Oryzias latipes: one gene and its partners. The protein of the gene in region 3 purifies or fractionates together with the protein of the main gene of each other region. This does not show direct contact. Links are inferred from orthologs where the notes say so. Each region holds a gene or a part of one and is shown on either strand. Other genes may lie near its edges.

What was found.
Region 1: the proteins of prdx5 (region 3) and park7 fractionate together in Homo sapiens (co-fractionation; 3 studies listed by BioGRID). This does not show direct contact. The link is inferred for Oryzias latipes from reciprocal best matches to the Homo sapiens genes PRDX5 and PARK7.
Region 2: the proteins of prdx5 (region 3) and sod1 fractionate together in Homo sapiens (co-fractionation; 3 studies listed by BioGRID and IntAct, with this or other methods). This does not show direct contact. The link is inferred for Oryzias latipes from reciprocal best matches to the Homo sapiens genes PRDX5 and SOD1.
Region 4: the proteins of prdx5 (region 3) and peroxiredoxin-1 fractionate together in Homo sapiens (co-fractionation; 3 studies listed by BioGRID). This does not show direct contact. The link is inferred for Oryzias latipes from reciprocal best matches to the Homo sapiens genes PRDX5 and PRDX1.
Region 5: the proteins of prdx5 (region 3) and prdx2 fractionate together in Homo sapiens (co-fractionation; 3 studies listed by BioGRID). This does not show direct contact. The link is inferred for Oryzias latipes from reciprocal best matches to the Homo sapiens genes PRDX5 and PRDX2.

Annotation. Positions count from the first base shown.
Region 1 is NC_019863.2:8,957,982-8,963,167, reverse strand, and holds the end of park7 (protein DJ-1), read right to left. Parts: intron 1,953-5,186; coding exon 1,866-1,952; intron 1,552-1,865; coding exon 1,391-1,551; 3' UTR 1,287-1,390; downstream 1-1,286. UniProt on the Homo sapiens protein: Multifunctional protein with controversial molecular function which plays an important role in cell protection against oxidative stress and cell death acting as oxidative stress sensor and redox-sensitive chaperone and protease.
Region 2 is NC_019872.2:10,953,106-10,959,731, reverse strand, and holds sod1 (superoxide dismutase [Cu-Zn]), read right to left. Parts: upstream 4,471-6,626; 5' UTR 4,348-4,470; coding exon 4,276-4,347; intron 3,480-4,275; coding exon 3,383-3,479; intron 3,272-3,382; coding exon 3,202-3,271; intron 1,819-3,201; coding exon 1,701-1,818; intron 1,599-1,700; coding exon 1,491-1,598; 3' UTR 1,243-1,490; downstream 1-1,242. UniProt on the Homo sapiens protein: Destroys radicals which are normally produced within the cells and which are toxic to biological systems.
Region 3 is NC_019872.2:19,608,777-19,615,225, reverse strand, and holds prdx5 (peroxiredoxin-5, mitochondrial), read right to left. Parts: upstream 4,115-6,449; 5' UTR 3,939-4,114; coding exon 3,846-3,938; intron 2,423-3,845; coding exon 2,288-2,422; intron 2,203-2,287; coding exon 2,071-2,202; intron 1,991-2,070; coding exon 1,952-1,990; intron 1,867-1,951; coding exon 1,802-1,866; intron 1,707-1,801; coding exon 1,601-1,706; 3' UTR 1,362-1,600; downstream 1-1,361. UniProt on the Homo sapiens protein: Thiol-specific peroxidase that catalyzes the reduction of hydrogen peroxide and organic hydroperoxides to water and alcohols, respectively.
Region 4 is NC_019875.2:16,490,702-16,497,172, reverse strand, and holds peroxiredoxin-1, read left to right. Parts: upstream 1-2,415; 5' UTR 2,416-2,540; intron 2,541-2,813; exon of another isoform or gene 2,814-2,875; intron 2,876-3,259; 5' UTR 3,260-3,270; coding exon 3,271-3,376; intron 3,377-3,471; coding exon 3,472-3,625; intron 3,626-3,712; coding exon 3,713-3,835; intron 3,836-5,452; coding exon 5,453-5,583; intron 5,584-5,830; coding exon 5,831-5,913; 3' UTR 5,914-6,285; downstream 6,286-6,471. UniProt on the Homo sapiens protein: Thiol-specific peroxidase that catalyzes the reduction of hydrogen peroxide and organic hydroperoxides to water and alcohols, respectively.
Region 5 is NC_019859.2:35,388,230-35,394,808, reverse strand, and holds the start of prdx2 (peroxiredoxin-2), read left to right. Parts: upstream 1-2,278; 5' UTR 2,279-2,398; exon of another isoform or gene 2,399-2,418; intron 2,419-3,043; 5' UTR 3,044-3,071; coding exon 3,072-3,174; intron 3,175-3,295; coding exon 3,296-3,449; intron 3,450-6,294; coding exon 6,295-6,579.

The DNA of each region.
Region 1 (5,186 bases), on a different chromosome or scaffold from region 3:
AAAATGCTGTTAGGTAAAAACTAGGGTTGCATTTCCTCCCATTGTAAAACGAGACAACTAAGATAGCATCTTGACTTGTCCTTTTTAGCAGGCAAAAGTCTTTTTTTTATTCTTTAAAAGGCAGCAGTTTTGCGTTTTGAACATGGTCCTATATTAGAGCGGAAGGTTTTTTCTAGCTGGTTTCCTCGCGGCGGCGGCGGCGGGGATGCCTCGCTCGGTCTGATGGACTGAAGCTGGCCTCTGCCGCACTCCCATCAGCTCCACAACGCAGCTTCTGCGGCTCAGGCTGACTACGGTGGCTGCTGAGGACGGACGGCTCCTCAGACCGACGTCTCATGTCGGCTCCCATCTCTGCAGAGCCATCTCCCGGCGTGAGGACTCAATCTTGTGCGTTTAGTCTCAGCACATCAGAGCGCGTAATGCCGCCACCGCTCCCCCACCGGGCCAGTTTAAAAAAAAAAAAAAAAAAAGCTGAATTCAACCCATTATACAAGAACTGCAGCGAACTTGATGTTCACCTATTTGAACACTTAGCAGGCTAATCACGGCGAGTACAATGAGTCCTAGTGGCAAACACACACTTACTGTTGTAACAGACAGCTGCTTGTTTCGGCTGTAGCTTAACAATCTTACCTAATTTTAAACTCTACACACCTTTAGTGGCTATTTATGTGATTTCGTTGCGCACAATGAATGAATGAAATTTTTAAGGGACCATCCTTGCCGTTTAAAGCCCCTCGGGTGAGTATTACTCGTTGACAAAACCCCAAATAACCAAAGTATTTCCGAAACCTACTGCTCTTACCTTCGTCAAAACGCTTCTCTTCCTTCTTGACTGAGATGAAGACCCTCCGGATTGTGTTGCTCTGAAACAGCTACCATGCGCTGACTCCAAAGCCCCGCCCACCGGCCGCGTGCCATTCGTCGGTTGAGCCACAACTGCAGCCAAGCTGGGGGATTTGATTGGTCAGCTGAACCGTCAATCCATTCGGTTTCTGCTTCCCGCCTTCTGAATTGTAACCCCGTTAAAACACAATATGCCGTCTATATTTAGGTCTCAACAACCGCCGCAGGCATGCGAAAACACGTCAGTGACCTACAGTACAAGTAACACTACAAAGATCCATCACTTTCAACTTTTATTTCTAGTTTGAAAAACATTAAACTGTCGAAATACGCTGAGCATGTTGACTGCTTGAAAAGCTCTTGAATGCATTTTAGTGTTATTTCCGTTTTGAAAGCATTTGTAAGCATCTATGACACAGGAAGAACACTCAGAATCTTAGTTGGGCTGAAAAATATATTTACTGTTTTATGTGAAACACAGTTTAAGGAATTTAATAGTTATTACTGAGGCAAGGCCTCTTTTTTTAGGTGACAGTGGAAACATTTAGTCCTTCAAAATAAGAGGAGCCTTGACTTGAGTTGCAACATCGGCCCCCATAAGTTCTTCTACGATTGTCAGGGCAAATTCAAAACTGGTTCCTGGTCCACGGCTGGTGATGTAATGTCCATCCTTCTGTACTCGAGCTTCTGAATATTTATAGTGATCTAAAAAAAAAAAAAAAAAAGAAAGATTTGGTTAATGACCATACAGGAGTTTCAAACAGCAGCTAAGAAATCGCACATGCTGCCCATCAACGTGCTTCAGGAACGGATTATCTGTTGTCATTTCAATTGACCCAGTTCTAGCGTGTTCTATTAAATTCCTGCAACTGCTTTAACCTCTGAGTGGTGTGCTCTCATTGCAGGAAGACTATAGATAAAGGAGCAGCCAGTACAGCACCATCTGCTGCTGTTTAAAAACAATTACACGTTTCTTAGCTGAAATGACAGCAGCAGATTAGAAATCACCAACTTCTTACCTCCAGCCATCATTTTCTCCTTCATGGCAGGATGCGTTGTGACTGTGCTGCCGAAGCCAATGCCATGGGCTAAAAGAGCGGTAGGGCCTGCAAAAGTGCAAAACTGTTCAAGTCTCATGTGACAGCTTCCTGCTGAAAAGTAATATTTAAAAAAGCATTGAGAGAGTTCCGTTTCCTCCCAAAAAAAGCAAAATGCAGCAACCTGGGATTAAAAACCTTCAAATTTTCAAGCAGGAAAAGGCAAGAATTTTATTATTGAAGAGCTTATTGAAAGAAAAAAGCAACAAAAAAGGGTGGGGTTGCCGCATTAACTTTGTCCATGTCTAAGCAGTGCAGTGAGCTCATCCAAACAAAAACAGTTAATAGAAAACTATTGATCGTGCTGCTTTGGCTGCTTTCCTGTTCACACTCAGGGCAGCAGACCGAAAGTCCAAACTACTCCTGAGACGAGTCCCAACTCAAAAGACGCCATGTCTCATAGAAGACATTCAGATACAGCTCAAGTACAATGAAGGAGAAATGAATAAAATAGAACTTTTATTAAAATGGAGAAGTTAACACTGTTTATAATTTGGCATAGTGTTTTGCAGTTTTCAGACATTTTTAGGAGACTTTTCAATCCGCTTTGCTGGATTTATCCCCTTCCGTATCTTCTAAAAATTCTTTCTCTGTCCCGTCTTTGCTCATTAGGGCCAGCTTTGGGAATCTTACTTTGAAAAAGTAATTAGTTATAGTTACTAGTTACATCAACCCAAAAAGTATTTGAGTTAGTAACTCAGTTACTACATTTTAAAAATAATTTAAAATGGCTAAAAAAATATATATTTTTCCTCAGCTGCTAACAAACAACTAATAACTTAAGTTCAATAATTTAGTGAAATTGACACTTCTTGTATCCTGGTATACTTCTACCAATGAAATTCTGTTAAATTATCAGAGAGCGAGGGAATTGAAGTATAGAACTCTAAAGAAAATTTTGAAGTATCACACAAAAACACTCAAAAAGCTATATAGAAAAATCAATGATATTAACTTCAAAAACTGAACATAAAGGTTTGAAGTATCAACTTCTTTTAGTTACTGGTATCCAATTTTTTTTAAATAAACAAAATAATTTCCTTTTTAGAAATAGAGGGGAACAATGGAAAGCAACAGGAATAATTAATAACAATAAAATAACAATATCTAAATCTTAACCTAAACGTTAACATTGTCAGTCAGAAATATCACACTTCAAAACTGCAGCAAGAAAACTATAAATCTAAATATTAATTTTACATAAAGGCAAAACCAAATGTTGCATGATAATAAAAGAGAATGTTTCTAACATATTTCAAGTATCCCCTGAAATGATGTCTTTAGCTGCACTTTCATCATTAATCTACTTTATGGACGTTTTACATCTTCGGCTTTGCTCAGATCTCCGAATGTCTGAGTCAACAGTGATCAGTGGAAGCATGATTTCCACCACATAGGGTACTTTGCAATAAGGTTAACGGTTCTGCTTTGTCACCGGAGCACACACTCGGTGGGTTGTGAGATGAAAAAATACAAGTTTGAGGCTCAGTGGTTCATTAAATTTAAATGGCTTCAGATGGACGTCGGTAAATGTCTTTGTTCCGATACACAGCATGAATTTGACAAACATCTGTTCCTCTTGTTTTAATTAAAGAAAGTAAACGTAATATTTCCAGCCTCAAAATGCTGACACGTCCTGTTGATTTGATCCTGCTGGCTGCGCTGCTCAATCACATCTTGGAGCGCTTCAGTGTGCCCCCGCCCACCTGAATCCCTTTCCAATCGTGATCTCGAGTAGGACAACCCCCGTCGCGTGACACAGAAGACGCTCAGGGAAAGAAAAAAAGTTTAAACCAAATCAATTAACTAAAAGGTAACGCACTACAATCTATACGAAGTGACTAAAACAGCGTGGCAGCCGGGATAAAAGTAATTATTTAAATTACTCAGTTACTTAACTTATAACGCTGTTACTTATGTAATAATACTTAAACGTTGTTACGATCAACGGCTGCCAAAACACTAAATTGATTCAAATTTTGATTCAATACATTTTCTTCCCCTAAATCTCTATATAAACCCATTTTTATTTGATGATGAAAACCAACTTTCAAAAAACCACGGATGTGGACTTCATAAAAGTGGAAGTTTCATCAACAAAAATCATAATTTTTATCATAGAAAATGAACTAAGGATTTTTTTTACCCCCCACAAAAAGTAAGAATGACTTTAAAGTAAAATTGTTCAATTGATTTAATTAATTAAAGCTAAAGATCGATGTTTTTTTTAAATCATTCAATCTTTTTTTTTTACCCCTAACCTACAAGCAAACAAGTAAATCAAACTACTTGTGAGTTTTCTCAGTAGTTTTGGAACAAGGGTTTTTTATGTAAAATATTTGAAAATGACCACATTTTAATCAACTTTGAAATCTGACGGCGTATGATTTATTTCAATCAAGTAAGAGGCATTCCTTAAACTCTTTGGACTAATAATAGTTCCCAATGAACCAAAAAAAAATACCCAAACCCATATTAAAATATGACATTTTGATTTAATTTGATTTGAAATGGTTTATTTCAAGCAATCAAATAAGAATAATACACAACAACAATACAATCATCAGTTATCCATTCATACATGAAACCTAATAAAAGGTGCATGGGGGAGTTTTAAACTTGTGCTGAAACATTGTCAAGTCAACTTTCCAATCCCAACAGGCCCTGTAAAAGCTGCACTTTTCACAGTTCACTGGCTGCCTCTCCAAAATACCCCCTTCACCACAGAGCTCCACTGCCATTTGCAACCATCCAAGCCTATGAATCACACTGCCTCAATGCATTTTCCTGAACAAACATCTCCTCTTTATTTTACAGTTCCTGTATTATTTGGCATCAATTGTAACAGAGGGCCATTTATCAAATGTCTGTTTTTTTCTTTTGTCATCAAACTCTTCATACCTTTAGCTCTTGTGTGGTTACGCAGATTAATGCCAAAATCTCTACATTTGCTCTTGTGATGACTTCTTACACAGTATCATACAAACATCCTTCTGAATATGTTTAAAGTCTCACTCTGATCATCTGTTGATCTATTGTGAAAGCATTTTCCAGTGGTCTTTCCCTTATAAATATGCAGTTTTTAGCCAAAATCAAAAAACCTGGGTCGTTTTCTAGAACATTGCGTCTTCAGAGCGACAGGAGTTCATCAGAAATTCACCTTCGAGTTTACGGGTGAGACCGTTGGCATGGAGCAAACCCTGCTCCTTTTCCCATAAGTGAGAGCTCTCCATTTACACACTT
Region 2 (6,626 bases), about 8.7 Mb from region 3:
CTCTGAAGATGTTCTGGAATAATGTCAAAGTTTTATTAAAAATGTTCCATTCCCTTTTTCTCCTTTTTTTATTAAAAGTAAGCAGTTTTTGGAAATGAGTTTCAAAAATAGACCAAAACGACTTTTGTTCAGTTTTTGGACTCTGGCTTAGGTTGTTCCAAAGCCACAAAGTGACATATACTTAAACTACAGGAGTTCATGTAGTTTAACACACTTAACATGGTGAATGCTTTTAATCATCTGTTTTTCTATGATAAAATAAAGTAAAACTGGCAAAAAGTGATTCACACATCATTAGATTTCCTCCTTTAATGTAATTTTTTTTTCTTTCTAAAAAATGATTAGAGGTTAAATAGCTAATCTATAGTCTACTTATTTATGAGGTAGGTGAACTTATCAAATGGATGAATCTACCTTTACCCCTTACTACCCTGTAGAACTTTAGTCTTAAAGCATTAAAACGCCCTCAAGTGGAAGAGAAAAGCATTGCAGCTTTCCAAAGTCTAATCGTCGCTCATATTTCTGGCAAAGACAGGCTTCACAACATTAATTTTAAGTGCCGTTTAAAGTGCTGTTCATTTGTTTTTGACTCCACATTAAAAAAAAAAAAAAAATCAGGATCCCCATGTGACCCATTTTTGCAGGATAATGAACTCAACATAAAACATTTCCCTTTTTTGTAAACCTTACCTATTAATAATTGCTGGTCTAAAATACAGTGTGGTAAATGGAGCAAAGATTATATCCTTGGGAATGTACTCTTTTAGTGACCTCAAGTTGAAACATGCCTGGGTTCTGACCCAAAACAAAACCCTGAATGGCTTCAGAAAATATATGAACATTTAGTGGTTTAGTAAAGACCTCTCCAAAATTCTGATGGCAGTGAATTAATGCATATGTTCTGAAACCCTCCAACATGGACAATTTTAAAGTTTTCCAAACTCTTCTGGTCCACAGTCCTGTGAAAGTCTCCTAACCACTTCTCGTAAAGGCTTGACTGCAATTGAAACTCATATTTTCACTTTTGTGTGGATTTTGTGGCATCTTTGACTAATATATTATTAGTTTGATGCTCTGAAACATTCAAATGCAACAAACGTCAAAACAAATATCTACGATGAACAATATATGCAATCAAGGGTTAAAATGATTTTGGCGCCAAGATAAGGTTGAAAAACGTCACACCCAATTTGATTTAAGTGGGGTTTTAGTCATTCTCAGTGCCCAAATGAGACAATCACAGTAGATATAACCCATTTTACTTTTAATAGAAGACATACAGAAATAACTTGTGCGTTTCCAATTCTTTGGGACCACTACACAAACGAACCCATACATACAACTGTCCAAGGGAACAATGGCAAAGCATGGCTTGGCTAGTTTATTAGTCCAGAAGAACAAAACTAAGGACTAGCTGTTACATTAAGTAGCTTTGTTGGTCTCATTAAATGCCGTGGGAGGAAGCGGCTTTCAGTGCGGTTTTGAACATTTTACTGAGCGATGCCGATCACGCCGCAGGCCAAACGCGCTCCAGCATTTCCAGTTTTAAGGCTTTCATCATTTCCACCTTTTCCAAGATCATCAACTTTCTCATGGACCTAAATGATTAGGACAAATAGGGCAGGAAGAAAAATACTATCAGCTTTAACAATTTATACAATAAAAAATATTAAAAACAAAATTAAAAAGTAAAAACTTACCACCACAGTTCTGCCAACAATAGAGTCTGGACCTGAGAGTCTGATAAGTTTGTCCGTGATATCTATTTTAGCAACGTTATTATCTCCTGCGGTCACATTTCCCAGGTCCCCAACGTGTCTGTTAAAAAGAAAAAAAAAAAAAAACTTCCTTTATCAAATAAATTCAAATAAAAACTTAAGACACTTAGATGTGGGGGGGGGGGGGGGGGCAGGTTAGATAGATTAGTCAGTTAAAACCAACTAGATGCATTTCAAGTTGTTAAAAAAAAAGAAGCTTACTTTATCTTTAAAAAGTATATTCCTACTGAATAACTACCAAAGAAGTCTGATTTATTTTTAAAGCACTTATCATATGCGACTAATGGAGAGTGCTTTTCAGAATAAATTCAAATTAATTTTATTTACAAAGCACCTTTCATGTCAAACAGACAGCTCAAGGTGCTTTCCATAAAAATAAAAAAAAACAAGAATACAATAAAAACAAACCCCGCACATGAAGTAAAATAATAAATAAGCCCCTTAAAATAAAACACACAAAAACAAGCACAAGTAAAAGAGAAATAACAGAGCTTAAGAAAAGAGAACCCAGAATAAAAATCTAATAAACTGAGGCCAGACACACTATCTCAGTCTTTAATAACTCAGCTCAATGCAGAGCACCGTTCATGATGCAAGTTGTGCAAACAACCCACAAACGCTGAAGTTCCACTGGAGCGCTCAGCTTTGTCAGACTTTGCTCTCCAAAACTATTTGTTAAGGCTACCATCGGTGGATTTGGAGTTAATTTAATCCTCATTCAAGTTAGATATGTGCATGTAGGTGAGTCAATGTGATCTTTTCAAAAGACATAAGCACAAAATTCAAAGGCCTAGAGTGCATTTTACTTCATGTATCCCATTTCTCAGTGTTTTAACAACCTTGGTTTTCCAGAGCCCCCTTCCCAGCATGCCTCATTTGTTACCCAACTGTCAGCACAACTCCATCAGCTTTAAGTGATTTAAATGTGAGCCGTTTAAGCTTTAGAAGAAATAAATAAACATGCAGGGATTAGGAATAGGACATTGCCGAGAGAGATAGAGATTGATTTATTTACTGTGTCAACACCAAGTTGCATGGAAAATGGGATGGCTCTTTTCACAAAGTTTCAGAAATTAGCTGATTCGTTAGATAAATCATCCAGAAACGTAAGCTATAGTTACTTTCAAGCAAGTAAGCTTGATCACATATTCTAAACATCGTCACATCATGCCCAGTGTAAAGGTAGCATGATAGGTGATTATAACAGCAGTGAGTGATGCAGGCAGGCAGAGTAATTACTAGCAGAAGGAATCAAGTTTACAGAACCGTCATGTTATAATTCTGTCCTGGTATACATCTATAAGCACTCCAATTTATTAATGGGGAGGGATAAAATAAAAATTCAAACCAATATCAGAAAACTAATAAGCTATAGAACCAGGTTTTGCATTTACTTCGCTACCCTTTCCCACATGACCCTCACCTTTCTGCATCTTCAGGACCCCCGTGGTTCTTGTTGTATGGGTTGAAGTGAGGCCCTGCACTGACGCACCCTAGAAAAAGAAATGTTTGGGGGGACGGGATGTGGAAGCTCGTCAGATAATATTAGATTTCATTTACAGCATTTTCAAGAATCCCAGTCACTCATCGGCTCATGAACTCACCATTGGTGTTATCTCCATACACGTGGATGTGGAAGCCGTGCTTGCCTGGTGTGAGGCCTTTGATTTCTCCAGTCACCTTCACAGGGGCTGAATCGCTCTAAACACACACACACCAAATACCGTGGCTACAAAATAATTCAATCTACTATTTTAGACTGTCTTATGCAAAAGTAGATCTTCAGAAAATGAAATATTGACCGCAGCTCAGACATTTATCTGTTTTTACTACGTGAGAAGTCTAGATTGTTAGCAACGCCAAATAAGTTATTAGAAACAAACAACAAGTTGGTAGACTTCCTATGACTCAGCAACAACATTAGTATATTGTGGTATTTAAGGTTGGATGGGGATAACAATTCTAAAAATGTATCTTAAAAATAGGAAACTAAACAGAACTGGCGCCATCAGTGTAGTAACGGTAACCAATGACCTCATTTACGCAACCACAGGCAGTTGGACCGTTAATCATTACAAAACCCAAAGTCGTAAAATGTCTAAAGGTTGTGCAAATTTAAAACATGGACCTCAGTCAAATTACTCGAAGACAACATGCTTAAGGCCGACAACAACAGCTCATGATGATGATGATGTACGCATTACTTTTTCAGTACGGAGAAAAAAAAGAAATAGTGGTTCATTAATTCTGTACACTACTTATTAAACGATTGTAATTTTGCAAGCTGTTGCCGGTTTTGGCGAAACATAATTAAGTAAAAGCAAACTTCCAGCACAAAAAGGCATTTCCTAATGTGGATAATGATGTATTAGCATCCTAGCTAGCTTAGCAATGAAGAGCTAAATAAGCAGAGGAGATAAACATTAAGCAAAGGTCACGTTTGCTAACTTTGGAACATAACGTGAGACAAAGTTAAAGCTTTAATACAAAACTTTACCTCCTGTTCAAAATTAACCACGCCGTTGGTTTCTCCTGTTCCTTTCAACACACAAACTGCTTTCAGCACCATTTTTGCTCAAGTCTCTCAAGACACTGCTAGGAAAAGGCGACCAATTACAGTTATGAAAGGCGAGGCTTTGTAGGCGGGCTCAAGTTGGAAATAGCCAATCAGATTCCGAGATGAATGTCAAATAGTCTGTTTGGATTGGTCGAAGAAGATTCCAGAAGTAAAAAAGCTATGAATCATGGGAGTACGAATTGCATGTGAAGTTTAATTATTAATGTTAATATCTTTAATTGCGGTTAATACATTTTTGTAAAAATTTTATCTATAAAAGATTTTTATATAGAAATATTGTTTATGTTTGAAAACAATCAGAATAATAAGAATAGTTTTTGCACTCTTTTAAACAAAAACAACTTTGGTTCTGGTCAGATAACAGCAACTTATCAGTTGCTGCTGAAAAATCTATCAAGTTTTTATACCCCATATCATTGAACAATTCTAACTTGAATCTCTTAAATCTTTCCAGGAACAATAAATTAAGTTGTTTCCCCCCCAAAAGATTAATCTGGCACACAATCTTCTATTTTTCAACATTTGTATGGAAAATAAATGTTTTTGTGTAAAAGATGATGGGAAAATAGGGCAGGCTCACTAACTGCTATTTTCTTTGCTATGGCTAGCACTAACTGCTAGCAATAGCAGTTAGTGTCTGGCCAGTCACAACTCAGAAGAATTTTGGATGAACGTCTGCCACTCTGCAGAAACTACGTCATAAAAAAAAATCGCCTAAAAGCAACATAACTGACGTTAAAATAGATCAAAAGATGATTGGACTGCAACTTTAATAATTTATTTGAGATTCCCATTTATTTTAAAATGAGAAAATTTTTCTGCATAGATTAGTGCAAAAGTGAAACACGTTCAAAAAATATTTTTCCATCATCAAAGACTGTCGGTCATCCCAAATTGTCCTTTTTTTACAGATGACTTTCTCTGCTCAAGCAAAATAAGATGTGACCATGGGTTAAAATACAGGACACAAAAACCATTTTGGTACAAAAATAGTTTATTAAAAAGTTTCCTGTGGCTGAAACATTGACATATTTATGTCCATGTCTTCTGTACTTTAAACAAGCCATAAAAACATCAGTCAATTCTCAAACCACTAGGATTTAAAAATGTTAAAGCAAACAAATGCGTGTTGTTCCTTCTGCATTTCATCTTGGATTGAACATGTAACATTATTAACAACAATTACCATAACACCTTTAAAGTCATCAGTGAAAGAAGCATATTTACAGCAGTGTCCAAGGCAACAATACCCTTCCATTCATCAAATTAGTACTGTAGTTCCACACTTGCTGCCTTTGCATTAACCTAAGGAGGAGTGGGGAGGTTCGTTTGTTTGTTTTTAAATCTGGTGATCAAAATGAAACGTATTAAAATGATTCAAAAATATGAAAAGTGACAGCTGTAAACCAAGTCCTTCAATCCAACTCTATGAACCCGGGGGAAGATTTGGTAGAAAAAAATTATAATAATAATAAATTGGGGATTTTTTGGCTTTGGGGAAAAAGTTTCTTCAAGACCAAAAGATAAACTCAAAAGGTAAACTTGTAAAAGTATGCAGACAATACTCATAAATCCTAAGCGACACGTGTATTTTTGCACATCTAGATTATAACTTCACCTTCACTGTTCCTAAACAGAAGAATGGAAAACCCACAAGGCAGAATGTGATGAGACAAAACTCATTCCCAATGCGATTTTGACTGCACTTCACTTTAGAATAGATTTTTCATAAAACCTAAGCACAGTTCAATTGCCAAAACAACCTGTATAACGAAAAGTTTTATCACTTCTAGAACATTGAGGTTTTTTTTAACATTTTGTCTGTTCCAATTTTCATGCAAGTAAAATGCCACTTGACTGTATAAGCACAATATATAAATGAAGCTTTTGCTCAAGGCTAGTTTGACCTAAAACCATACAAATTGGTGTGTAGTCAAACATTTTTGCACAGGGAAAATGTCATTAAGAAACAGAAATTAAAAGAAGATGCTACATCAATGGTGTCTAATAGAAAAATTGAATAGTTTTTTATTAATTTGGAAATGTATTAAAATGGCAAAAGAAATGTTTACAACCGTCTGACATAAAGGATCCTACCGGATAAGTCTGCACTCTGTTTTTTGTTCTGAATTTCTTTTTATAGTAGTGGGAATGCATTTTAAACACTCAGCATAAATCTGTGGATTATGAACATAAACGTTTGGACCACAGTTGACCACGACAGATTTTTCAGCAACCAGAAAAATAGCACATTTAGAGCAGTTTGTTTT
Region 3 (6,449 bases):
TCCAGCCCAAAAGTCACGAGAAAACCGCCAGACCCAGCGAAAAACCGCCCAATCCGCCCACCCCGCACACATATCTATGGTGTGGAGAACTCGGGGTTAGCCCCGCCTTCAGCCCCTAAGAGTCATGGGAAGTAGGACATTTTCAGTGTAAAACCGTGAGCCAGGTAGCTGTTAGCAGATTTGAGTTGCATGCCGTTTGGCTGAGTGAGTGAGAAAAGAAGTTACCAGGTTCCTAAACATGAGCAGGAAGGAGAGGCGTGGATAATGCAGCCAGTTAAATTTAAACTCAGAACTTGTTGGACTATTCCTTTTAAGTACGAACTGACTCATTGCAATGTATTACTATTAAATAGGTTATTTGCCTTTGATGCAGATGTCAGTCATTCAATTTTAAATTAAAAAAACATATAAAAGCAAGATATTCTAATGAAGGTCAAAATTAATTTAAGTTGCACACAACTGACATGTAATGTATTTAATGTGTTTATTGTGAATATGAATGACTCAGACACCAGAAGGATGCTCTGTCCAGATGTTTGTGTATTTGTTGGTGTAAGGGTCATTGAAAGAGGAATGTTGAGACACAAAGAATTACCAGTTAAATGCTGTTGGATAAATGGTGAAATATTCAGTTTTATCATCGTAAATCTGACTTCAGAGGAGTCAGTGCCACTCCAGCATCAACCTCACCGCCTGTCACTGTGTGGTTGTGTGTGTCAGAGAGAGGCAGACAAAAGAGTGAGATAAAGAGAGAGAGAGAGTGTGTGTGTGTGTGAGAGAGATGAGAGAGAGAGAGAGAGTGTGTGTGTGTGAGAGAGATGAGAGAGAGAGTGTGTGGAGGGGGTCTCTGACCTCCAGGGTAGTCTCTGTGTTTACTCTGGCTAAGCTGCATTGATGTGTGTATTGAAGGTGGATTCTTTCCTTGAAATAAACATCAGTACAAAACTTGCTGTTCTGTTGTAGGGAGATGAGTGTGTTATGGAAAGTAATACGGCTTTAATTGCGTGTGTGTGTACGTTTTGGCAGGTCAGTGTGTGGTGTGGCTCTTTGACTCTCACAGCGAAAAAATTTGGCTCTTGGTGACAAACTTGTTCGCCACCCCTGGTCTAGTGGGTCTAGATGACCCAACTCCCAACGTTAAAGTGCCTAGGATAGCACAAGGGTTAAGTAAGGTTTTTGACCAAAACCCTACAGAAGTTCTAACTTGAGTACTTCTGATAAATGACTTTACCCAGTCATTTTGATGATTGCTTTACTAATATTATGTCAAAGTAATTCTACTTTCACTTGAGTAATTTTGGATAATTACTAGCCTTTGTAAACACACTAGCTAGAAAAATATATCCAAAAAAAACAGCAGATTATTGCTTTTAGAGAGAATTTTATTTGCTAGGATTAAACAAAAGAACAGTCTAGAAAAAGCTCCCTGTGTCATAATTGTGCGTATGACTTGCGTTCCGGCTCTGTCGCAAGCGATCACATTACAATTGCATTAAACTTTGGGAAAAGAGAGAAGTCTGAGCAAGTCAGCGCCATGCTCCTTGTGCAACTTTTACAGTAGCTGTTGGTTAACGGTTTGCTTCAGTGCGCTCATTTGGAGCTACAGCTCCGACATGATGTTAGAGGCCAGACTGCAGGTCAGCCCGGTGCCATCCGGCTCCACGTTGATCTTCTTCACCACTCCGTCCTCCACCAACATCACATACCTGAGGCACGGGTCAGAACCGCAGTTAGCTTCAGCTTGAAAACCACAAGCGCCGTGATCAGGACTGCAGGAGCATGAAGGACAAATGAATGTTACCTCTTTGAACGTTTGTTTCCCAGCACCTGCACTATCTGGTCACTGTCTAGTAACAGGTCAACAGCCTGTAAACCAGAAAGGAAAGGCGGATCAGAAGGCAAAATGACAACGTTAAACTGTGTTTGCTTGCTGTACGGCAAATGTTGTTACTTTTGTAAATGCTCCAGTCGGATCAGCCAACATTCGGACCTGCAAATGGAGAAGAGGAAGCAAGCTCAACCTCCAGTCTTTATCAATACAGACTGTATAATGCAGACAGGAATCCATACTTTGCCCTCTGCTCCGTGCTCCTTCCCCCATGCAGCCATGACGAATGCATCGTTGACTGAGATGCACGCCACTTCATGTATGCCTTTACTTTTTAAGCTCTGAGCTTCCTGCACAAAACCTGGGAGGTGAGTCTGGAGCAACAAGAGAGGAAATCATGAGCGGGCAAAAGATCACTGCATGCAAATCAAGAACAACCAGGGTCAACTGACGCTTTACCTTAGAGCAGCCCGGAGTGAAAGCTCCAGGAACAGCAAAGAGGACTCCCTTTTTCCCCTTAAAGAGCTGATCCATGGACACCTTTTTTCCTGGCTCCCCCTCATCAACTGCCACAGCTGGAAGCTGTTCACCAACCTGTTAATGAATCCACAATGAGTGCATATATTCTAACAATAAGAAAATAACAGCGTACCTACAACATTTGAATTGTTGTTTTTACATTATCACCTAATTTATTTACATCATTAATGTTACTTTGATAAAAGAAAAATGATTTTCTCTTTTTTTTATCTCAAACGTGTGCTAGAATTTGCTTTTTACTTGTACATAGATATAAATCTGCAAATTTAATCATTGTAAATTAGATATGACAAAAAGAAGAAATAAGTAACACAACAAAAATTAAACAAAACAAAGACATTTTATTAGTCACACATTTTAAAAATGTGATGGGCATTTTCTACTGAATAATAACCTTATTCCTTCTTATTCCTTATACCTTATGACCTTATTCCATTGAATTGTTTTAAAGCAAAACTTTCTGAGCTTTTAAAAGAAACATGCACATGTCACCCTTGACCTATCTGTACCACTTTTTAATTAATCCTATTAGTCATTGCCCTACTGTTCATTTCAATTTTAATTGCATCTGTATTTTGTAATGTATTTTATTTCAGTTGTTTTTTAACTGTATTTATTTTGTATTGATGCCCTTTGGCCCAGGTCTTCCTTGAAGAAGAGATGCAGTCTCAATGGAATTTCCTGGTAAAATAAAATATAATAAAATAAATAATAATAATAATAATAATAATAATAATGCGTTTTCTAAACAAGATTGTGCACTTCTACTAAGGACCACTTGAGGGCGACAAAATCACAAAAAGATCACCTAATTCAGAAAAGACAGTTTAATCATTTTCCATGTAGGTTTTTTAATATTAATGTTGATGCATATTTCATCTTAAAAATACATTTTTTACGTTTCATTGTCAACAACAAACCAGGAGATCGCTATTTATTATAATGTACGTACGCCATTACACAGATATTATGACGTTTGGGATTATGAAAACCAACTTTAACAATAACAGGTTGCAAAAAAAATCGAAAAAACAGAAAAGGTTCATTCAGAGATACGATCACATTTGTTTAAAAAGAAAGGGCACAGAACTGAAAAGCGCAAATTATAAACCAAAAAAAAAATCAGCTTTCGAAAATCGTCAAAATCCGAGTGGTCATTTGGGGCAAGTAAAAATGACCTTTTAGGTAAAGGTTGGCCAAGCTGCCAAAGATACACATTAAATAAATATCTAGAAGCTATCTTCCAAAATACGTAATGCTTAAATTCTGTTTAAATGTTCACTAAAAACTTCTGCGTTTTGGTTGGAAATGGAGGAAACTCCCTTTTTGCTCCGCCTGATATAGCGGCTGGTGTTAGCCACGTTAGCATGTTAGGCTACAAACGGAATAAAACCAAATCCCGCGGTCTCAATCCAATAATAAGATCCGCACATGGCGGTCTCTACGGGTGTAGAGTGTACAGCGGCAGGTTTGGTACCTGAATCGGCATTCTGGAGATAGAAGAACCGTGGAGAAGTCTGTGTAGCAGCAGCCCGCAGTGCCTGATGGGACTGGATCTAATGAAGAGCATCGCGTCGCGCGGAGACGCTGGTAGTGGGCTCACGCGGGAGCAGCCCTCAGGGACGGGAGTGCCTAAGGTTTCTGCTCCTAACGGAGCTGGAACGGGCTCCTCCAGTCAAACGGGTTTACGGGATCGACCCACTTTACTGTAAAGACTGAAAATAGCTTCAAGCTAACTGGCTGCACAGCTCTTTAATCCGAACGCTAGTCGGAACTACTTAAAAGTGGTTTAAATAAATCTGAGGGGATGCCAAAACATTTGAATACTTAAGCAGAGCCTGCTGACTCAACAATTTGAAAGCTGAATTACTGCAACAATCCGATTGGACACATTTACATGAACCTTTTCCACATTTCTTTCATAGTTGGTGTGGAGATTTTTGATTCACTTGCTTTTTTTGTCAATGGTTGTAAGAATGTGATATTTTTTTCTTACAACTATTTTCTCCTGGACTCTCACCATTATTCCTAAAATCTGATTACAATTAAATCTAAGAAATCTGATTTTTGTTTTCATGATCGCTTATCTTGTATTGATGGTTTGCGTGCAAAATGACAGACATCAATACGAATTGTTGCAAGAACATTTAATCACCAAGCTAAAATACCATTACAGTCCCACTCGGATCATTGCGTGATCTATTTCAAAGCATTCCCAGTGGTATTTAAATTAGGATTGAGCTGTTTTTAGAAAAAAAAAATCACAAAACCTCTGGACATAGGACATAGTTTCTGCAGAGTGGCAGTAGTTCACTTTCTAGGACATAGTTTCTGCAGAGTGGCAGTAGTTCACTTTCTAGGACATAGTTTCTGCAGAGTGGCAGTAGTTCATTAGAAATTCAGAAATTCAGTTCTGGGTTGTGGTCAAGACTACAGGGTGTGGAGCAACACAGCCCCACTTCTCCTCCCTGTTATGAGAGCTCTCTGTTTACACACTTTCTCGCTAGCTCACACCCCCTACCAAATATTACTGTTGCAACAAAAATAGCCAGCTATGTTAGCTCAAACGAGGAAAACAAAGACGTACAATGGGGCAAAAAAGTATTTAGTCATCCATCAATTCTGCAACTTCTCCCACTTAAAACAATAAAGAGGCCTTTAATTTTCATCATAGGTATACCTCAACTATGAGAAACAAAATGAAAGAAAAAATCCAGAAATCACATTGTCTGATTTTTACAGAATTTATTTGTAAATTATGGTGAAAAATAAGTACCGGTATTTAGTCACCAACAAAAGTTCAGCTCAATACTTTGTTATAAACCCTTTGTTGGCGATGACAGCAGTCAAATGTTTTCTCTAAGTCTACACAAGGTTTTCACTAACTGTTGCTGGTATTTTGGCCCATTCCTCCATGCAGATCTCCTCTATAGCAGTGATGTTTTGGGGCTGTTGCTTGGCAACACAGACTTTCAACTACCTCAAAGATTTTCTATGGGATTGAGATCAGGAGTCTGGCTAGGCCGCTCCAGGACATTGAAATGCTTCTTACAAACGTACTCCTTCGTTACCCGGGCAGTGTGTTTGGGATTGTTGTAATTCTGAGAGATCCAGCCACGTTTCATCTTCAATGCCCCTGCTGATGGGAGGAGGTTTTCACTCAGAATCTGATGATACATGGCCCCATTCATTCTTTCCTTTACACGGATCAGTCGTCCTGGTCCTTTTGCTGAAAAACGGCCCCATATCATGATGTTTCCACCCCCATGTTATACAGTAGATATGGTGTTCTTTGGATGCAACTCAGCATTCTTTGTCCTCCAAAATGATGGGTAGAGTTTTTACCAAAAAGTTCTATTTTGGTTTCATCTGACCATAGTACATTCTCCAAATCGTCTTCTGGATCATCCAAATGCTCTCTAGCAACTATAGACGGGCCTGCACATGTACTGGTTTTAGCAGGGGGACACGTCTGGCACTGCAGGGTTTGAGTCCCTGGTGGTGTAGTGTGTTGCTGATGGTAGCCTTTGTGTGGTCCCAGCTCTTTGCAGGTCAGTCACTAGGTCCCCCTGATTGAGGGAGATTATCAGTGGTCTTGTATGTCTTCCATTTCCTAAAAATTGCTCCCACAGTTGATTTTTTCACACCAAGCTGCTTACTTATTGCAGATTCAGTCTTCCCAGCCTGGTGCAGGTCAACTATTCAGTTTCTGGTGTCCTTAGACTGCTCTTTGTTCTTGGCCATAGTGGAGTTTGGAGTGTGACTGTTTGAGGTTGTGGACAGGTGTCTTTGATATAGATAACCAGTTCAAACAGGTAACATTAATACAGGTAACGAGTGGAGAACAGATGACCCTCTTACAGAAGAAGTTACAGGTCTGTGAGCCAGAAATTTTGCTTTTTGTAGGTGACTAAATACCTATTTTCCATGAAAATTTACAAAGAAATTCTTTAAATATCAGATCAGATCTCGTGATTTGTTTTATTTTGTCTCTCATAGTTGAGGTATACCTATAATGAAAATTACAGGCCTTTCTCACCTTTTTAACTTGCAGAATTTCACAATCAGTGGCTGATTACCC
Region 4 (6,471 bases), on a different chromosome or scaffold from region 3:
TATATTTTCAACAGGAGACCTTAAAGGGAAAACCTTAAAAACATCCATAAAAGCATAAGCTGTTGCAATAAAATATGGTGGGAAGGGTTATGATTTTGGCCTCGTTTTACAGAAAATCAATTTATGTTCATTTTGTGTATATTGACATGAATCAAGCCAAATGTGAGGCTATATGTAAAGTGCCCTCATCAAGAGCATTTAAAAAAAAAGTTAAAAATCCAGACCTCAACTTGACAAACTTGCTGAGAACTGAGCTTTACCTAACATCCATGTATGTTTTGATTCTAGATTGCTTATTGACCTACGTGTGCTATACATGCCACAATCACGTCCTCCTTTTGATCTGGTCCTGCTGATTTCTTTCCATCACTGCCTTAAAAAAGGCAAGATTCAACGTGGCACCCAATCAACCTCCCACTGTTCAACTCCCGTATTCCCACCGCTATTTCCTCATTAAACATTTAGCTTTATCAGACATAATTACCTGAAAAATACACTCCACAGTGCACGCATCACTTTATCTACATTTAGGATCGGGAGAAAACAACTGATGTTGGTGTAATTCAAACAAAGTTCTTTGATGAAGAGACATTTTTGACATTTCTTTTTAAATCACACACATTTGATGGTGGAGTAGGTTTGTTTTCTTGCTCTGGAAACCTGAGGCTTTGCTTTAGTAAACAATAGGATTTCCCGATCACACCATGAAGGCATTCACTTCAGCTTTGAGCAAAATAGATTAAAGGTTTTTAAAAGACATTTCATCAAAATGGTGTAAATTTGTGCACCATTTTTGTTTTAACTTGTGTATGGGTTGGAACTTCAGCCGATTTTGACACCATTGAACCAAACACTGAAACAAATGATTTATAGGATTAACACAATTAAATAGGGGAAACGTGTTGCACCTAATTTGTGTGGATAGAATTTTTAATTCTTCTTTGTGCTGTTTCAACACAAATGGTTTCAGTCAATCTGACATTTTTTGAGTAGAATTCACGCAATCTCTACACAATTTCTGATAAGCGGATAAGAGGTTTGTACTAAAATGACTGTGGTTTCAATAATTTGGTAAAATGCCTGTAGATATTCTAGTTTAAAATAGACATTAGCAGCATTTCAGCCCACCTTCACATCTGTGGGAAATTGTGTTTCAAAACTGCAGTGCTGACTGAAACCACAATGACAGCCCCACAAGTGTCCTTCAAACGTGTACGATCACACGCCCTCATTATGCAGACATTAGGATGAGAAAGGGGATGAATGCAGGCCAGCGTTTGATCACTGGCTCAGAGTGCTGCTTCTAAAGGGGGTTATTGTGTTTCTCCCTCCAGTCTGGTCCTTGAAGTAGCGCTATGGCAACAGCCTGCAAAGATGCAGCTTGATTATAGCTGAAGACGGAGGGATGCTTCTGCCATGACAGAGAAAATACACAGAAGAACTCTTTCCAACTTTATATACACTATTGTTTACTCTACTGTGTGTAGTCTTATTATTATTATTGTTTGACCTCCATTGAGTTGTTTCCCCCTTTTGAGATAATATCAATCATGAGATCTGTGGTCATATGAACATTAAGTTAGAGTAAATGAGATCAGCTTCTGGGCAAAACAGAGAAATCTGAACGTTAGCATTTCACAATTCATACGCATCATCGCTCTAGGTGTGAGAAAATCACTAAAAGTGAGGTATCTAAATAAAGAACTAGACATAGGTTAATCATTTGACAAGACTGAATGATTCACATGAAGAGCAACCACTTAAGGATTATGCAGATCTATTTTTGTTAAACAGAAGACATTTTGTTGTTTTTCTTTACCTTTTTTGCTTTTATTTAAGCGTTTAGGGCTTGTAATTAAACAACAAGAAACCTCTTTCTGTGCGAGACAGTGTGTACATTATGTGTTCTGTTCCTTCCAGTAAATATTACAGAGGAGAGGAAAGCAGGAAATGAAAAAGATAAATGACTTTGGCAGCAATCTGGATAAGCACACAGTGTTGCAATAAAGTGTTTGAAGGAAGGGAGTGAGATTTTCCAGAAACTGCTTAAGAAAATATAATATCGTTGGCAAGAGAAATGCAGCTTAAAATACCCTGGTTGAAATATAACGTCTACAAGACTTTTCCATACCGGGAGTTTTTTTGTAAGGGCATGGCCAAAGTAGAAAAAAAGGAGAGGAAGAGTTTAAGAAATATGGATAAACGAAATGTATACTTGACAAAAGTTATGAGAAAAATTGAGAAAGCTACCAAACGCTGTTTTTCCCCTCGTCTGTGTTTTTAAAACAAATTAATGGCTTCATAAACTAGAGATGTTAGAAAAAAAGAGGCATCTCTCTAGCTTCCTTTTCATGAAATAGCAGTTAAAAAGTGCAGAGTCATGCTGAATGCTTCATTTCTGGAAATAGGGATCAAGGAAAGGTTCTGTTCTTGTTCGGTCGATGTTATCGCGAGATTTCTGGGCTTTATAAAACCTCCTGATAGCGCACTCGAGCCCGCACGTTCGCTTCTGACAGTTGGTGTGGCGTGATCGCTAAGAGGTGAGTACCATAATGCCTTCATCTTACCACCCCCCCCCCCCCCTCTCGTTTACTTGTGTTTTTAAAGGTTTTTTTTTTTTTCATACAGTTAAACCCGGAAGTTTTCAGTTCAACAAGTGTCTGTTTATTTCCGTTCGGGATTTGATTTCGTGTGGAAAATCAAATAACCAGATTTTTTATAACTTTTATTTCCCCATATTATATTAAATGAATTGGGTCTTAAGACTAACACTTTTGGGCCTCTAAACGTTTTCTTTCTTTCTTTTTTTTAAGCGTTGTGGGGCGTGAAAACCTCTCTGTTCCCCAAAACGGGGCGATCTTCTTTCCCACCAAAAGTAAAACATTTAACTTTGTCTCCCACATGCGGAAATGTAAACTAAAAGAGGCGCTCGTAAGCTGTAATAAATACTAGTTTAAGTGGACACTGTCTAAATAACATTCCAACTCTTTTTCAAACCATTCTCTCATTTGACGCTTTTATTTTGAAAAACCCACTTCATTGATCCAGTTCATTATTTTGACTTTTGTATCATGTTCTTTCTAAATGTTGTTATATTTCACGTATCCAGTTGATTATGCATTACGTTAAAACTCTTAAAACTACTACTCTTACTACTTCCTCTTTCATGGATGCATAGATTCGTGCTTTTTGTCTGGCAAACGAGGAAGGCTTTTTTTTTTTTTTTTATTTAATCCCACTTCCTCCTTCTGTATTTCAGTAAGGACAAACATGGCAGCAGGAAAGGCAAAGATTGGAAGCCTGGCCCCAGACTTTACAGCTAAGGCTGTGATGCCTGACGGCCAGTTCAAAGACCTGAAGCTGTCAGATTATAGAGGTAAAAGCCTCAGTCTATCTTGTAAACAATAATTAAGGCAGCGCAAGAGCACTAATACCTTATATTTTATTTTTCCTGTTTCACTCTTCCTACAGGAAAGTATGTCGTTTTTTTCTTCTATCCTCTGGACTTCACCTTTGTGTGTCCCACTGAGATCATCGCCTTCAGCGACGCTGCTGACGACTTCAGGAAGATTGGCTGTGAAGTCATCGCTGCCTCTGTGGACTCTCACTTTTCTCATTTTGCATGGTACTTTCAGATTTTTAACATAATACCTTGTGCTTCAACTTTTGCAAATAGTTGAAATCAATTTTTCTTTTTGTTTTGGTTTGAAAGGACAAACACACCACGGAAACAAGGCGGTCTGGGTTCAATGAAGATCCCCCTGGTGTCTGACACGCGCCGCACCATTTCCACAGATTATGGGGTCCTGAAAGAAGATGAAGGCATTGCTTACAGGTGACACAACAGAGTTTTTTTTATTTTTTTCTATTTGCACATCCCTAAATTAGACCTTAAAGTGTGGATGCCATGCTTTGAACAACTTTGTCAAATAAAAAAGCCCTTTAAACGCTGATTCTATTGATACCAATAGTTCGCGTCGAAAAAAATCCGAAGCATATGAATAATAGACATCTTTCGAAGGAATCAGAGATTTGGATCTGCCGCTAGAGCGCAGGCTGGAAGTGAACCCGATATGACCTGTGACGTCATGAAAGGCGTTGATTTTCGCAGTTCCGCTTCGGACAGCATGTAAACAAAACCGGTAGTCTTCGTTTCTCTCGTGTTTAAATCTGTTAATCATCAACATGCCAAGTCGTTGTGTGGCAGCTGGATGTAGCAATACATCTACTGAAAGTGTATCTGTGTATAAAATTCCCAAACAAGAAACGCTGCTGAAAAGGGGAAAGTTCAAGAAGGTGGACGGCGAAGGATTTTTCCCTCCAGATCTGCAGGAGAGAAGTCTGCGTTTTCGAAGGGACAAAAACCGGGACACAAACGAAGAATTTTGAACGGAGAGTTGGGAGGAGGATCTTGGCTTCTGAGTCGAGGAAAGGCGGGTGAGCTGGAAGCGAGCGAGCCGTTTTCTGGGTCGGAGAGGACGGCGCTGGAGTCGGGAGCGGAGGCTGCTAAGCTAGTGTGCATCACGATGGATCACATTGAGGCGAAGTAGTCGTGTTTTCTGTTGTCCTTGGATCCAACTGGAGTATTTCAACGCACTCAATGTTTTGCAAGAGAAGCAACAGGCCTGCAACGTTTTTTTTCTTTTGCTTTTGAGGTGCCGGTACCATGAGTAAACTAAACTGTGTGTGTGTGAGCGCGCGCGCGCGCACGAGAAAAGGTTTCAAACGGGTTCAAACGGGTAAAACTGTTAATGTTCCACAGTTGTTAATGGTATACAGTGACTTTGTTAACTAAAGAGTAGTAATATCTGGGAAACTTTTATTTTGTGACATTTATTTTGTAAATTGGGTTGAAAACCAGTGTTTACCTTTGTTTAGATTAGGCCAAAAGGGGACATTTTGAGTATATTTTAGGGTAAGTGGAGTAATTTAATTTTATACATTTTTTAGACTTGCTGGAGTCTAGCCGAATCTTCATGCTGGCTATCGTCATGATCGGCATGATCACTAGACCTACTACTTTCTGCTATATCCTCCTCACTTTCGCAAAAGGGTTCGAATCGATACGGTTGCAAAAGTGACTCATCATCATGATAATCTCCGCAACTTTCCTCTTCATCTTTCTGTTCATCTGATGATAAATCGCTAATAGAGACGGTAGCATCACTCTGTGCTTCGCTATCGGTGCTAGCCATGTTGTCTGCCTTGTCTTCCTTTCGTTACGTCACAAACAGGGCGGCGCGAATTCGGCGGAATGCGTGAAGCCGGCGGCCGTCCTCGTTGTTTATATTGCGTTTTTCGCTATTTATTCTTTTTCGAAAAATATTAAAAACAATCGCAACATGAAATAGAAACTATTTACTATATTTTGGCTTATTAAAATAGGCCATGTCACCCACACTTTAAAGTTGACTTAAACCTGCAATTTTTTTTCTTCTCTCCATGATTTTAGAGGTTTATTCATCATTGACGATAAGGGCGTCCTGAGACAGATCACCATCAACGACCTGCCAGTTGGACGCTCGGTTGAAGAGACTCTGCGTTTGGTTCAAGCGTTTCAGTTCACTGACGAGCATGGAGAAGGTATGATACTACTGCTGCTATTACCTTGATCTGCATGCCTGGGAATAATTACTTTGAAGCAAATGTTTACAGTATGTTTATTTGCATTACAATACAAAAAATACTACATTTTTGGATTATTTTTCCTAAAACCAGACTTTTTTTTTTTTTTTTAACCCTAACAAATATTTTCTTTACACTGCGCCTGTGCTTTTATACTGGCACATTGTTATAGTGGGACCTGCTGCTCATCGCTCTTTCTTTTCAGTCTGTCCAGCTGGCTGGAAACCAGGTAGTGACACCATCAAGCCTGACGTCCAGAAGAGCAAAGACTTTTTCTCCAAACAGTAATAAAGCTACGACTCAAGTCTGCTGTAGGAGCTGTATTTTGAAATAGTATTTAGCACAATGTGTAAGTGTCCACTGTTCCTGTTTTGGAATGCTCTCCTGTCCATGTGGTGAACATTGTACTTGGACCAATTTCTTACTGTTGTTACAAAGATTCCTACAACCATTGTTCTTGAAATGGAACCAGATGACCTGTTCTCACGGTTTCTTTTTTTTTTTTTTACTGTAAGCATCTAAATAAAGAAAAAATGGACTCCTTTTTAAGGACTTTTGCTCACTAAAAAATAAAGGTGAAAATGCCAATAATGTTGTGAACAATGTACTTTAAATGCCCACGTAGTGCACAGAAAACTGCAGTAAAAAAGTATCAAACTGCAAAAAAGCCTGGTGTTGATCTACTTCCTGTTCCACAAAGCCTACCGTACTTCTGGAGAAGGATAACTTAATGAAATCTGAAAATTAGGCACATAAATTAGACTGCGTATAGCTGGAAATAAGTGTTTAAGTGTTAAAAGCTAGATGGCCTGAACCCTCTGGTCTTTTATTAATGAATTAAAACCC
Region 5 (6,579 bases), on a different chromosome or scaffold from region 3:
TTCAAAACCGGCCCTTTTAGAGTCAAAGCTTGCAGACGCCTGCATGCTATCATCCACACTCTTTCCTGAACCCACGCGATAAGAAAAATAATAATAATAAAAAAAAAAAACACGCGATCAGACAATTGTCGCGATGAGTCGTAGAAAGCATTTTCTTTTCCAGGTCTCTTTTTATTTTGTTCCTCGTTTCATTACCAGTTTACCATTTCGATTATCGTACTTTTTCGTTAGTAGGATTAAAATATAAAAACGTACAAAGGTATTCGATGGATTTAGCTAAGATAGTACTCTACTGTAGTACTAGCAGCCGCCATTGTTTGTGTGCTGCCTGCTACACTGCAGCAGGTACAGCAGTGACTGCTTGATCCGTTTTTATTCAGTTAAATACCGGAAAGTTTTATAATCTACCTCACAGACACGTGTTAACTTCATAACACATTTATTAAAGTCGTGAATCTACTTAAAATCTCTCAGAAAGTGCCTGAAACATCAGGATATGCTAGCTCACCGGAAGTAGCGCTCCACAGAGTTCTTCTTCTATGGATTTCACTGTACCAACCCATACATACCAACGCACTACTGCCGTCTCCCGGAAGTGTTGGGTTACTGCATTAAAATGAGACTTGACCCGATAAAACTGTGGGTGATTGGCATTTCCTACCTACTGCTAGGGGGGACTGCCACATCTCATATTACTTGCTTTTTCGATGACAGACTTATTACTGTTTTGTAAATGTGTGTATGAAAGAGAACATAGTTGTCAAATGCAAAAGTATTTTAAAGGCCCACTCCGATTTCTAACATGTTCTTGTAGCCTTTTTCTGATGGAAAAGGACAAATATAAAGAAAATGATGCTCAACATTGGATTTCTGAGTATTTCTTTATTTAAATCACCTCTTCTGAACTGGTATCTGGATCTAAAGCGGCTCACCGTTTTTGTTGCACAGGTAATATTAGGATGGGGGTGTGAGGGGCTGTAAGCTAGCAGGAGCTCGCAGCATAAGTGAGAGCTCTCAGTCATGGGCGACAGGAAGGGACAAAGGGGGGCAAAAAAACATCACTGAAAAAGGAACAGGAAAGAAAACTGACACTGCTAAGTGATGATTCGAAACAGGTTGGCAAAACAGAGAGGACTTGGACCTGATCCACTCTTTTTTTTAAGGCCACAAATACAAAAATGTAAATAATAATTACAAACTGGACAAATATAAAAGACTGACATAGCATAAATAAAGCAACATTTACAATGGACTGGATTTCAGTCCGCAGATCATCTTTATTTCATCTATTTCCACACACGTTAGATTACAGTACAATAAGGCTGTGCATTGTAAATGTCACAAGTTTCATGTTTAATTTGATCTTGAGTTATATTGTAAGCTATTTATTTTAAAAGTTAGCATGTTGGGCACTTTGAATTTACACTTACAGTAAGGTTTCCACACTAACCATTCCCAACCGACTCCACCACATTGGAATGACAGACGACCGCTGCAGGTGACCCCACCCACACCAAGACGCCGCCGTGAACGTTTGCAATACAGACCATGTTACCTGGACGATGCAGCCACGGTCTGCCGTCCTGTTCACGGATGAGGGTCGGGTCACCGTGCAGAAAAGATGGTCACCAGCGTTGCTGGAGAACGCGAGGTGGAGCGAGACGATGAGGTCAACATGGTCTCCAGGGTTCACTTTGGTGGGGGAGGAGCAACAGTTTGGACCGGCATCACCAGGTTCTTGTAGACGGTCCAGTCACTGCAGGTTCTGACCTCAGAGACGTTATAGAACCATCATCATCCCCCAATTCCACCAGAACACCCCCAACTTCCTGTTCATGGATGATGATGATCCACCACATGGTGCCAGAACTGTCACAGCTGGACTTCAGGAAGTGGGAGTGGCTTTTCTAGTAGCCAGCAATGACCCTTGACCTGAACCCAATAGAGCAGGTCGGGGATCAGCGGAAGCAGAGACATGCAAGTGACCTGAGCAGAACTGCATGTAGCACTTGTGTAAGAGTGCTATTGACACAGTCAATGTCTGTTATTTTGGTTTTGTTTTAATTCTAGGGGTAATAAAAATCAACCTGATGAAAATTGTGTTTCTTCTTCACTATTAGTGATTTCACATGATTTTTTCCCTCAATATTCAGACCGAATAGGAAAAGTCCTCGTGTAAATAACAACGTTCCTAACTCCTTAGTAGTGTCACTGCTTTAGTGAGCCCCAACGCACAAACTTCTTCCAAAGATTTCTCAGGGCCGAAGGAGCGGCTTTTATTTTGAAGGGTGTAGTACTTCCGGGGGCGCAGCTGTCGGGGTCTACTTGTTTCCACGCAGCCGCGCTTCTTTTCTCCAGAAGCTTCAAACCTTCCTCCGAGTTCTCGGCGGGCAGTCAGGTGTGTTGGGAGTGAACGGGGTCAGTCTGGTCTGACGTCAGCGTCTCCGGGTTTTGCGGTTTGTTCCGGAAGAAACTGACAACAAAAAAAAAAAGAAGAAAAAACCCGGTTTCTTAAGCTAATGTTTAAAAGAAGCTAGCTAGTAGCGACGGTCCGGGCCCGCCTGCCTGCGGTTCCGTCTTTGTTTGGGTCCGGGTTGGTTCGGTCGAACAGCCTTGGAGACGCGTTTGAAAGTCGCTGGCGGTGCCTTTGATCTAACCGGAGCCGCGCGGCGTTTGTTGGTTTTCGACCAACTTAAGAGACAATGAAGGAACATGTGTGCTTTCTTTGTGTGTGTGTGTGTGTGTAACACTTCAGGTAATGAACTTTGAACTTCAGTTAAACAACCTTTAGTCTTCATTCCCGCCTTAAAAGTGCGTCTCTCTTTTTTCTTCTTATCTTTCTCCTTTTGAGTCGTTTAAGGCTGTAGGTTCCGCGCGCCTCTTAAAGGCTTTTGTTCTCCTGACTGCCGCGTGACCTCCTTGAGGAGGAGGGGGGGGGGGTGCAGGGGGGATGAATGCAGAGATCTCAAACCGTGAGACTTTGTTTCAGCTGCAGTGCCTAAACGTGTTGTTTTTCTGTCTTCTTCATCCGTGGATCTTCTAGTCCCTGCAGTTGCTCATCCTCCACCATCATGTCCGCTGGAAAAGCTCAGATAGGCCAGCCTGCCCCAGACTTTAAAGCCACCGCTGTAGTGGATGGACAGTTTAAGGACCTGAAGCTGTCGGACTACAAAGGTACTCCATTATTCAGTATTTGCACCTGCTCCTGCTTGGATTGGTGTCACCGACGCCATCGTTGGGGTAACTGGATTCATCCTCTCTGGGTTGAGTAACCGGTTCCTTCTGTGTGTTTCAGGGAAGTATGTGGTTTTCTTTTTCTACCCTTTGGACTTCACCTTCGTTTGCCCCACCGAGATTATCGCCTTCAGCGACCGGGCGGAGGAGTTTCGCAAGATCGGGTGCGAGGTCATCGGCTGCTCCGTAGATTCTCACTTCAGCCACCTGGCGTGGTGAGTCCTCCTGCTGGAAGAACCGGAGATCACCCACAGCAGCCGCGGTGACGTGTGCAAAATGTCTTTGATCGGAGTAGAATTGAACCGTGTTCATGGGCCCAGAAACACTTTATACGATTATAACAAACGTTTACATATGTCACACTTTTGGTTCGGATTAAATCATTGTGACACGAGCAGAACTCTCTAAAATACCGGAAACGTCTGTAGAAGACGAAACATTGAGTTCTGTTGTAAACAAGCTGCAGCATAGAGGTGATTTTAGTGCTTGTTCACATGTTTTCTTGGCTGCACAGAGCCAGAAGAAGGGTTAGCTTAGGCTAACACGTGCTAACAACAACATTTAGCCGTGGATGCAGTTCAAATCCATGCGGTCGATGCTGCAATCTGCATCTCTGCTGCCTGCATGTAAACATGTGGGAACAACATCAGCCTTTATTCAGAAATAACATGAATTCACAGGATTGTTTCCACGGTTTCTCAGGACTCTGCAGCGTTTCTCCATTGAATAGCCGCCTCCGTTAGCTCACATCCGTCCCAGAGCCGCTCCTCTGCTAGGAGACCCGGTTCTATCGGGAGACCCGGTTCTCCTGAGTCCAGCAGCTCGCTCACGCAGAGAAGCAGGACGGACGGCGGTTCAAAGCCTCTTCTGGAGCGCCACACCGCAACAAAACGCCCCCCACGAAGCTACACGTCTCTGCTCTGATCAGAGACACGCTTCACACGGGTGGAGCAGGCGGTCGGTCCTGTTTGTGCTCCAAAGTCTCCTCCGGAGCGTCACACCGTCTATAGGTGACGTAAACCAGGGCAGCAGTGACCCACGATTAGAGTAAACGGTTTACATGCACCATGATCTGATCAACAATCTGCATAATCCGTGTTGGTGGAACGGCGTATTTACATGACACATTTTTCTTTTGATCTGGCGTTCGTTCCGATTACTTTTGTCCATGTAAGCGCAGCTCCTGATGAGTCAGCGGGTTGCTATCAGAACCTGTTCCTGGAAAAACTGCGTTTGAGCGGGTTGGGAGTCTTTGCAAAGGTCAAGGACAAGTCGGAAAGCTTTGATAAGAAAAGGTCGGCAGGGGAACGCAGGCGGAGGTTTAACCTGTGAGGATCGACGCGTTGTCCTCGAATTTAAATCCGAATCTCAGTTTATGGTGGACTGGGGAACCCCCCACCCACACCCATAAACACACACACACCCACACACACACGCACACACAGGGCGGTGCAGGATTTGAGTCTGCACCGGCAGTATTTACAAACGTGGAGCAATTCTATAGGAACACTTTCTAACCAGAGAGCAGATGTGGTACAACAGCTTACATCAGCTGGTTCTGAAGACCCCCCCCCACACACACACACCCAGGTTTATCTCCGGTCAGGGTCTGGCTGCAGGGTCTTGATAAGTGCTGACCCAACGGTCTCACAGCTCCTCCCTTAAGTTCATCCTTAAGCTGCTCCTCCTCTTCAGTCCGGGTCTTGGTCCAGATTTAAACCTAAAGCCTATGGAGTAAAAACCTGCCCCTCCCTGTCAGACGTTAAAGTCCCCCCAATATTCTTCCACTCGAAACTTTTTTTTTCTTTTCCACAAAGCGTTCCCGTAAATGCGGCCCTTCAGGTCAACATGCGTGGTTGCAGGTTGTGTGATCTGAGTTGCAGTGAGCTGCAGTAAGGAAAAGGTGAAGATCACTTCCCTCATCATCACATTTTGCTCAGTTTGACTTGCAGACGTTTGTCGTGAAAAGGGGAATTTTCAGACAAACAACATAGAAACAGGACAGTTTGAACACAAATCTGTCAAATAGTCGAGCTGGACTAGAGGTAAGATCAGGCCTAAAATATCCAGCCCGACCCGACACAGGCCCGCGGGCATTAAAGCCGAACCCGGTCCGAACCTGACCAATTAACTTTAATAACCGTTCAGACTCGAGCCCGGGCTTAAGATTTTACCTCTAAGCTGGACGTGCACAGCTTCATCTGTTCAGAGCAAAAATCTTAAAGTATAGAACTGCAATGTGTAGATTTGATAGGAAAAAAGGAAAAAAGAATGACGATAGTCATAGTTACAGAAAATACCTTGTTTGACTTGGCTTCCTTATTCACATTTCTAATTCCAACCCCATTCCACCCCCCCCCCCCCCTTTCTATTGGGGGCATGGTTTGGCACGTTACCTTAAATATAAAAGTTCCTAAAGTTTTATTTTGAAAGTTCAATGAAAGTTTTTACTTTTTCCGGCCTTTTGCTTTTGATGCGTCGTGGGATTGGAAATGGAACCGTTGCGTTGCAGAGGGACGGACGCCAGACGCTGGCGTGACGGAGGCGACGTAAACATTCCTATTGATTAACCAAGGTTGCACTTGACAGATGGACTGGTGGAAATCTGGCGTCTCTTCATTCAAACTTAGTCTTTTCTTTTTTTTTGCCCATATTCCTTTGCCTTTCAAGACATTGAGCAGAATGTACATCGTTTTGATAAAAAAGGTGGCATGAGAGTTATTTTTGGACGGGAACTTCTGATTGGTTGGAATTTCCTGCCCCAACAAAGATCACATGTGTGCGGGACAAACGGCCCACAGCTGTGGTGCCCTTGAGCAAGTACTCTGACCTCTGCTGCTGGCTGTTTTTGCCCCACAGCTTCGGTTCGCTCTGAAACTTTGTGAACATTGTAAAAGGGGCGGAGCTTCCCTGAATAGAAACGTGTCTGCTTTTTTCGTGAATTCCCTAATATGTTTATTTTATTTTTTTTTTAATTTAAAGAATCCTGTTGGAGACGTGGGATCTTAAGTGGATCTGTGGTAAAGTCTAAACATGTTTTATGTTCCTAACCTGCAAAAGGATCAACACCCCGAGGAAGCAGGGGGGTCTGGGCAGCATGAAGATCCCGCTGGTGGCCGACCTCACCAAGTCCATCTCCAGAGACTACGGCGTGTTGAAGGAGGACGACGGAATCGCATACAGGTCCGATTCTTTCCCTTCCGTCGTCCGGCTTTCTGAGCTGTGGGAGAACGCAGGATCCCAACAGGACGTGTTTGTTTTTGTCCCTAGAGGTCTGTTTGTGATCGACGGCAACGGCGTCTTGAGACAGATCACCATTAACGATTTGCCCGTGGGTCGCTCCGT